Linked DNA regions of Saccharomyces cerevisiae S288C. The protein of the gene in region 2 interacts with the protein of the main gene of each other region in a pairwise test. Each region holds a gene or a part of one and is shown on either strand. Other genes may lie near its edges. The genes, in order: BTT1, TYE7 and ARR1.

Evidence for each region.
Region 1: the proteins of TYE7 (region 2) and BTT1 interact in a two-hybrid assay, tested with the Saccharomyces cerevisiae proteins (one large-scale study listed by BioGRID).
Region 3: the proteins of TYE7 (region 2) and ARR1 interact in a two-hybrid assay, tested with the Saccharomyces cerevisiae proteins (one large-scale study listed by BioGRID).

What each region holds. Positions count from the first base shown.
Region 1 is NC_001136.10:961,625-964,448, forward strand, and holds BTT1 (CCR4-NOT core subunit BTT1), read left to right. Parts: upstream 1-1,787; coding exon 1,788-2,237; downstream 2,238-2,824. Other genes in the region: PAM1 (Pam1p), read left to right, coding at 1-1,482; MET32 (Met32p), read right to left, coding at 2,366-2,824. UniProt on the Saccharomyces cerevisiae protein: Acts as a component of the nascent polypeptide-associated complex (NAC), which promotes mitochondrial protein import by enhancing productive ribosome interactions with the outer mitochondrial membrane.
Region 2 is NC_001147.6:976,680-979,977, forward strand, and holds TYE7 (Tye7p), read right to left. Parts: upstream 1,391-3,298; coding exon 515-1,390; downstream 1-514. UniProt on the Saccharomyces cerevisiae protein: Transcriptional activator of glycolytic gene expression, such as enolase genes (ENO1 and ENO2), glyceraldehyde-3-phosphate dehydrogenase gene (TDH), phosphoglycerate kinase (PGK1), phosphoglycerate mutase (PGM1), pyruvate kinase (PYK1) and triosephosphate isomerase (TPI1) genes.
Region 3 is NC_001148.4:937,484-940,538, reverse strand, and holds ARR1 (Arr1p), read left to right. Parts: upstream 1-1,506; coding exon 1,507-2,391; downstream 2,392-3,055. Other genes in the region: ARR3 (Arr3p), read right to left, coding at 1-617; ARR2 (Arr2p), read left to right, coding at 868-1,260. UniProt on the Saccharomyces cerevisiae protein: Transcription activator required for resistance to arsenic compounds and for a regulated expression of ACR2, ACR3 and YCF1.

The DNA.
Region 1 (2,824 bases), on a different chromosome or scaffold from region 2:
CAATATCAATTGTTAAATAAAGGTGATTCTGAATGGTTTATTAGAAAGGATGAGAACACAGCGTTAACTCGCGTTGATGATTTACAAAACAGTATCGCACTTAAAGATGGAAAAATCATGCAGCTGCAAAATTCGGAATCAACCCTGAAAAATGAGATAAAAGAACTTCAAAGTCAAGTTTTGAGCTTAAAACAAGAAGTGTCCTCAAGTAAAGCAAATAATGGACAAGAGTTGGAAATTTTAAAGAAGAAAGTGCAAATGGGAGACAATTCATTATTTGATCGCCCAAATAGTAATACTAATGGTATATCTCCCTCTGATAACATTGTTGATGTTGATTTAAATTACGAAAGGAGTGACCAAGGTAATAATAGTAGTGGTAATGATAGCAGAAGACAATCTTTTTTCAACTCCACATCTGATACAACATTATCCAGAGATGAAACCTCGTTGAAAGAGCGTGAGTTAGAAGTACGAATGAAGGAATTAGAACTTCAAGAGCGTGAGTTAGAGTTACAGAGAAAAGCCCTCCAGCAACAACAACAATATCAACAGAGACCGCCTAAGCAAGTATACTCCGGTCCTTCTGGTACACCAACCAGCGGCAATAACAATAATAAAAGTTACAATCCAAATAGAAAATCTTCCTATAGTCAGCCTCAACATGTGGCTATGATGACCAGCAGAGGTCTACATGGTCCTAGCGCTGCAAGCTCTAGCCCTGTCATTTCTGCCAACAATTTTGTTGATCCAGTTTCTTCTGGGACGCCATATAGCAGCAATAGTTCTCGATTTAGTCAGCAAATTCCATCGCAGCAATACATGCATACTGTTAAGCCAACGAGTAGAAAAAACAGAAGTAGTGTCATGCCTAATATAGGTTACGTCCCAGGGCTAACCAATAACGAGTATGGTAGAAAGTTTAACGGTAATGGTATGAATGGTACCCAAAGCCGTCTGAATTCACTTTCAAACCAAAGTACGTTTAGATCTCAACAGGGTCCACCGATAACACAGCAAAAATCGTTTCAAAATAACGGTGGTAGCATGAGGACAAATCGCATACCATCTGCAAATTACAATATTTCAAATCAGCAATCGGGTTTTGTTAACTCTATTTCAAGTCCAAATCTAAGCAATTTGGAGAATAGAAACACAGTACAAAACAGTAGAAATGCGGATTCTGCTCCGTGCGTTAATCAATTGAACAGTGACTCTCCGCCCCAATTACAGTCTCTATCTCAAAACGGTACCTCAAAAGTTCCTCAGATCAATATTACGCAACCATCACCAATTCAGACCAACTTTGCTACGAGTGATAACCCTGCTGCTGTAATAAAACTAGGGACACCTTCTGAAGATACAGTTTCAGCTGCGGCAACAGCCAATAATATAAGTACAATGGGAGATGAAAGCCGCAAAGAGGACGTTAAGGAAAAAAAGAAGAAAAAGTTCAGTTTCTTTGGAAAAAGGAAAAAGTAACAAATACGCGAGCCCTTGTCTTTCCAATCCAAATAATCCGTTTTTGTTAATGATATGTTATATTTTATCTACTTATACATTTTATCTAAAACACTTTCTATTTGGTTAATGACCAACGAGGAAGTTTGTAGCTTCAACACAACTTTAGATCATGTAATAAACGGCATATGCTTTTAAATGCTTTGTTTTGTTTTTTTCTTTTTTTCCCGCTGTGACAGAAACAATTAAGTTGCGTTAAAAAGGTTCCCTGATAGAAATAAATACGGCTAAATTAAATAAACTACTACATAATCCTACAACATCAAATGCCTGTAGATCAAGAAAAATTAGCTAAGCTGCACAAGTTATCAGCAGCAAACAAAGTTGGTGGTACCAGAAGGAAAATAAACAAGAAAGGTAATTTATATAATAACAATGACAAGGATAATACCAAGTTACAAGCTGAACTTCATAAACTGCATCCAATGACCATTGAAAACGTTGCCGAAGCAAATTTTTTCAAAAAGAATGGCAAGGTTTTACATTTTAACAGTGCAGTTGTACAGATTGCCCCTCAATGCAATCTCACAATGATTCATGGCCAACCGAAAGAGAATACACTTAATGGGCTGTATCCGAGCGTAGCCTCTCAATTAGGTAGCCAAGAACTTGAGTATTTGACAGGTTTGGCTCATAACCTAGAAAATGAACAGACGGTGCTCGACCAGCTGGGCGACAGATGCAGCGAGACAAAACAACAAGTGATGAATAGCTGACATAGTTCATAATAATTGCCAGTAAACGTTATAGCTAGTGGCGAATGTCGAAGTGGAAATGCTATCACATTAATGTTGCAGATGAATATATATTTTCTTATTTGAGAAGATACACGCTATTTACTCTTTCAGCCATTACTGCTACCATTGTGGTTGTTATCTTGACGATGAACGATGTTGGATTGCTTGACTTTTTTCAGTAATTCATTGATACCCTCACCACCCGCAGTTAGTAATTTAGTCCTGTTTCTCCTACATGTCAGTGTATCATAATGTCTTTTCAATGCATCTTTCCTTGCAAAACCTTTGCCACATTGAGGACAAATGTTAGGCAATATGGCGAAGTGTGTCTTTTCGTGCCTTCTCAAATCTGATGATCTTGAAAATTCCAACGAACATTTCGCACATTTAAATCTTTTTTCACCAGTACTATTTCTACGATCTTGGGGTTTGCTTTTGCTGGACTTCGGTGGTTTTGGTAATGCGTTTTCCTTTTTAACCTTTATGTTACCGCCTTGACTATTTATATCAACACCATTTTCTGCCGGTATGAGTGCTGGTTTTTTATTTTGTAACCTGTTTTGCCT
Region 2 (3,298 bases):
GTAATAAGATAATAAAATAAAATAAATGAGAAAAGTTTGAGAAGAGTTCGTTCGTATAAATCATTAAGGTGTATGTGTTTGTTGAAATAAAAAAAATTGATTTTTTTTTATTTTTTCGGTTTTGGCATACATATCCGTCCGTAGCTGAAACGGAATTTCGTCATGTCTTGTGCTTTCTTGGCTATGAACCACGCGTCATTAATGTGTATAAAGGAGGAATAAAATTAGAATTTTTTTTGAATAATACGAAATAGAAAAGAAAAAGGTATGAAAAGTGCGCATCACGATTTATCATCCTTCTTTAGTGGGGATTTTTTTTTTTTATCTTTTTGTATGTTTTTTCCAACTTCTTTTTTTTTTTTGTATTCTTGTCTGCTATGTTATGGCCTTGTTATTTTTTGGGCTTGTTTTTTAAAGTACTTCGCTAAGAAAGAAAAAAATGTCGCATAAACAAAAGAGGAGAAAGGAATTTCTATCGTAATTTTATAATATTGGTGTTTAAGCAAGCGTGCTTTTATTTTTGGTCTTGTTTCAAAGTGTCGATTTCACTTTTCAACCTTTGAACTTCCATTTCGTATAGTCGTTCGTTATTTTGTAGATATAGAATATAGTCAACAGCTTTTTCTAGGATCATGCTTTTATTTAGCTTCGTGCTTGTAGCAGCGGCAGATGGAAGAGGAGTAGTAGCGGCAGTTTCTGCGCCGTCTTCGTCCTGTTTTTTTACAGAATCACCTACTTCGAAAGCTGTTTGTTCACTTGCTACCCATGGGATAATCTGCTGCAGTCTTGCAATCTTTGTGTTGATGTTTATTCTGTAGCGTTTTTCAATCTTGTTGTGAGCTTGCTTTTGGAAGGGGGTCAGTCTTTTTCTTGGAGCCCTCTTTTTCGTTTCCTTAGCATCTAGATTTGTTTTTATAAACGAGTCGTTTAGCTCGATTTCATTCTTAAGTGGGGTACTATCGTCATTATTATCAGTATTTATCATGTTAGGCATTAATTGCAAAGAAGCCGGTTCAAAATCTGCCAACGAAAGGGCATTGTCATCCTCTTCTCTTTTTATCGAGCTGCTAACCTCGGGAGAATGCGAGTATGAGGAAGGATTACTGAAAAACTGATCTGTTGGAAAAAGAGCAGATTCCTCGTTGTTGGAAGATATAAACTGGTCTTCGATTGGAGAGCCTATCGAGGAGCTGGATGCAGAGGAGATAATGTTTTCCAATGGTTCGAACCATGTGGAAGAAGATGCAGAAAGAACTGACGAGGAGTCCTTGTTGACGTTGATATGACTAGCTCCGTCATTTTCATCCGACAACCAATTATCAAATTCAGATTCAGGTTTAATTAAAGTAGTTTCGCTAGATCTAACATTTCTGTCTAAAATAGAGTTCATAATTGTTAAACTTGAAGAGATTTGATAGTGTGTTATTTGTCTTTATTTTTATTTTTGCACTAAAAGTTTATGAAGTGAACAAAAAAAAAAAATAATAGTAAAGTAGAGAGACTTTAGATCGGTACTGCTTGTGGTGCTTTACGCTTAATAAGAAAGAAAATGAGAAAAGAGAGAAATATGTAAAGAATAAAGGTTGATGGTTGGGAAATATAAAATAAGGATGTAATTAAGATAGCTTTACTTTCCCATGAATTGATATATGAAGTGAAAAAGGATGTAAATAAGTTTAAATTTTGGAGATAACAAAAGAAGTTTATATAAGTACATTTGATTGTTGAGGTGAGAAAAAAAAAGGAAACAGAGGTGAAAAAAATTAATAGCAAACGTTGCGTTTTGCATTTCTACTAAGAATGGAAATGTCGCAGACACGGTATCATCTACACTGTGAAAAAGAAATGAAAATGAGAATTGTTATTTGGCGAACTGTGAACGTGCGCAGGGCAGAATCCCATTGTACGGTTCGTACGTGGGCACAATGAATTACTACTAGGGTAAGAAATGACCGCAGCAGCATGAACATTCTAGAACAAAATTTGATTCCTTACCGAATGGAGAGAGGCCACGTTGTTAGGGGAGTAACAGCGCAATGAAGTGAGCTCAATCCCACTCCAGAAGGGCTTGTGTACGGCCGGAACTGGGCTAAGCAGTATCCGCGGGTGAAAGTCAAGGTCAGCTTGTTCCGGTTTCAAAAGGAAGATTTTCCGGGATACCTCTGGGTGTAACATTCAGATGCGTGCGTCATTTATTCTCTACCCATGTGGTGCCTGCCAGATCCGGTAAGTACCGCCCAGCATAGCGTATACACAAGGATGAATGGGTTCTACGACACCGCGGTTTAAGGAAGTTGCCGCATTTGGCATGGTGTGGTGATGTCTCTTTTCCTAAACCAGACTGAGACAGGTTTATTTCACCGATTTTTTTTTGCTTTGGCATAATAGAATGTCCAAGAAGGGTATTTTACTATCTTACACGTGTTTGTAACATAAACGACAATTTTGTAGCACAACTAGGGCATGTCAGTCTGAGTCGTATTAGCGCCCTCCCCCTTACTTCAACAGTATCGTAGGATTGGCATTGCATATACGCCGATTTTAGCGTTGTTAATTGATCATTGCTGGCTTGCCACGTGATGGCAATAGGCTTTCTCTCGTGCTCGACCCCTAATGTCAGTTCAAGCAGGGAACGTGCCAAACATGGCTAGTGCATTTTTTACGTAAGCCGCAAAGAGGTTCCTCTTTTCTTAGTGTTTCGCCCTACTGATAAGAATGTGAAAAAGTAAACGATAAGATTAATATAATTAAAAAATGTTTCAATTCTAGACATCGTACCCACAAAGGCTGCCCATATCATATCGTAATACAGATCCGCTTTTCAGATTACATCCGATTTTCAGACTGAAAAGCAGCATAGCGGCAGTATGATGAATACAAGCGCGCTTATCTGTCGCTCTTCTTACTTGGAAAGGGAATCATATTACCCGGCAGGGCGCTGACGGGAGCCGCATTAAATAAGCATACGAAAATCATCAAGGTTATCGGCATTTAATTTTTTAGAGGCTTCTTTATATCCCATAGTTAGATTATTCAATCAAAAGGTTGTAAATGCCTATTAAGTTGCCTCTTGTCATGGTCCCATATTCCCTGAGGCATTCCTGCCAAGAATAATGGATTTCTTTCATGCATAATTATTGAGTATTTGAATCATCTACATCGCACCCAAAGAAATTTGATATCGTATAATTCAGCATATTATTATATACTGTGTAAAAAGATGACATGGGAATTAAGAAACAATCATCAGATTTAGTGGATGCCGCAATACAAGGACTGATAATGTAAAGAAATAAAA
Region 3 (3,055 bases), on a different chromosome or scaffold from region 2:
ACCCTATTTGAAGTATTCAGGTGGTCATGAGAAATAACATAACAGTAAAATATCTGCAATGGTGCATATAATACCATCTGTAAAAGCGAGTTTGTAATAACAAGCACGACGCAGAGATCATTGTCTCCTCCAGCAATCTGATTCCAAATTAGCACCATGGCAATGCATCTAGCTACTCCGATCATAATAATGCCTTGACGGTATTCCTTATAATCGAATAGCGCCATCCACGCCAATGCTGTCATCAACAAAGGACCGATGACCCAATTCAAAAATAACGAGAGGGCTAGTTGCTTCCTTATATAGCTCCTGTAGAAGTACTTGTGAATAGACTCCCAGGAAACTTTGCAGATCGGGGGAATCATCATTACAATCATACCAACAGTCAAAGGAATGGACACTCCCATTAGATTGGGATGACCTTCAGCGTCAAAAGTGTGACGGGAAGAAGGCACATAGACAGAAATTATTACTGCAATGATTATGGAGAGAATTATAGTAAATGGCAACATCAAGTCAAGCCATGACAATGACTTGATCGTAGTCAGTATATCGGTGCGATTCACCATATTAACCTTAGAAGGTACCGAATTTTCACTTTTTTGATCTTCTGACATTATTCTACTAACCTGATGATTTGTTGGTTGGGTTCTCTTGAATTACAACGAGAGCATTCATTTATATTCTTTTCCGTTTACATTATAATTATGTAAGGAGCGTTGCCGCTAAAGTTGATTATTAATCAAACAAAAAGATAATTAAGAGCATTCAAAATTTGATTTTAAATCAACACTTTTGAAAAGTCGGTATAAAAACTAATGTATAACAAACTAATATTGAGGAAAACTTGACAATCCAGCAAGCGTAATGGTAAGTTTCATAACGTCTAGGCAACTCAAGGGCCTAATTGAAAATCAGAGGAAGGATTTTCAAGTTGTTGATCTTCGAAGAGAAGATTTTGCACGTGATCATATTACAAACGCTTGGCATGTTCCAGTAACAGCACAGATTACAGAGAAGCAACTGAATCAATTAATTAAAGGTTTATCCGATACTTTCTCAAGTTCTCAATTCGTCAAAGTGATATTTCATTGTACTGGGTCCAAGAATAGGGGACCAAAAGTAGCTGCTAAATTCGAAACCTACTTACAAGAAGAAGATATTACAAGTAAGTTTGAGAGTTGCATCCTCGTTGGAGGTTTTTACGCTTGGGAGACCCATTGTAGAGAGAGTAACCTTAAATTGATTGTTAGTGGTTGAGCTCCTCAAGCTTTATTGTTCCAGCATTAATGTAAAAGTCTTTTCAATATTTTATGTACGGCAAAACTTTTTAATTCCATTTTTTTTTTTTTTTTCGTTTCTTTTCTTATTAAATTAAATATAATTATAATTATAATATTCCTATCTTTACAAAATCATATTAGTATATAATTCTAGCATGCGGATGGTCTTTAAGGAGCGGCCGTTGAAAAAACATGTCAAAACGGAAGATAAGTGACCAAGATAATGGCAAAACCGCGTGGAAGAAAAGGCGGCAGGAAGCCTTCACTTACTCCACCTAAAAATAAGAGAGCTGCGCAACTTAGAGCATCCCAAAACGCATTTAGAAAACGAAAGTTGGAAAGATTAGAAGAACTAGAGAAGAAAGAAGCTCAGCTAACGGTAACAAATGATCAAATTCACATATTAAAGAAGGAAAATGAACTTCTCCATTTTATGTTGAGGAGTCTTTTGACTGAGAGGAACATGCCTTCTGATGAACGGAACATTAGTAAGGCCTGTTGTGAAGAAAAACCGCCCACATGTAACACTCTCGATGGTAGTGTGGTTCTTTCCTCCACATATAATTCCCTTGAAATACAACAATGCTACGTATTTTTCAAGCAACTGCTCTCAGTGTGTGTTGGAAAGAATTGTACAGTGCCGTCACCGTTGAATTCCTTTGATCGGTCCTTCTATCCCATAGGCTGTACGAATCTCTCAAATGACATACCAGGCTATTCTTTTCTAAATGATGCAATGAGTGAGATTCATACGTTTGGTGACTTTAATGGGGAACTTGATAGTACCTTTTTGGAGTTTAGTGGGACTGAAATAAAGGAGCCAAATAATTTCATTACTGAAAACACTAATGCAATAGAAACAGCGGCAGCGAGCATGGTGATTAGGCAGGGTTTCCATCCAAGACAGTATTATACAGTGGATGCTTTTGGAGGGGACGTCCTATTAAGTGCGATGGATATTTGGAGTTTTATGAAAGTGCATCCAAAGGTTAACACATTTGACCTTGAAATTTTGGGAACAGAACTTAAGAAAAGTGCTACGTGTTCTAATTTTGATATTTTAATTAGCCTCAAGCATTTCATTAAGGTCTTTTCGTCAAAATTATAATATTCTTCCTGTAAGCACAGCGCAACATTGTCTTTCTTATTGTTAATATATAAGTTAAAAGCCGAATTTTTCATTTATTTATATAGATGGCGTGAAGATTATTACGGTCAGATACCTTCGCCTATTTATGTACTTGCATGCGTTTAGATTTTATTGGAAAAAGTATTAATTTATCGTCTATCGACTAGTATTCACGTTACTAGTATATTCTGTATAGTTAATGATAGAGCCTTTATTTAAAATGGAAGTCCAATAACTATTTCAAAATCAAATTATATGTCAAAGATGTTCAACAAATTGGGAAGGCAAGAGGCGAGCACTAGGCCTGATACCCTTCTTAATGCCTTGACATACACGTGTCTATTTCTTTTTTCTTGTCGAGGTATTGAGGTATTGACCAATGCTGAATGCTTGATAATGTAATTAGGGATCGCGTACGACAAGTTTCAGCAATTGTTAGGGTGTTATTTTCATTGTTCCCGATTATGAGCACAATATGGCGGTCTTGTACTAGGATAACTTGGGCGTATGTTTCACTATACTAGAACCATGATTTTATCAGTGTAGAACAAATGCTGAAACTTTGATTCAAATACAAACATTTACTAAAACACTGTAATACGATCGATGTGGAGTATTCGATGAATATTTTTCATGTTTACGT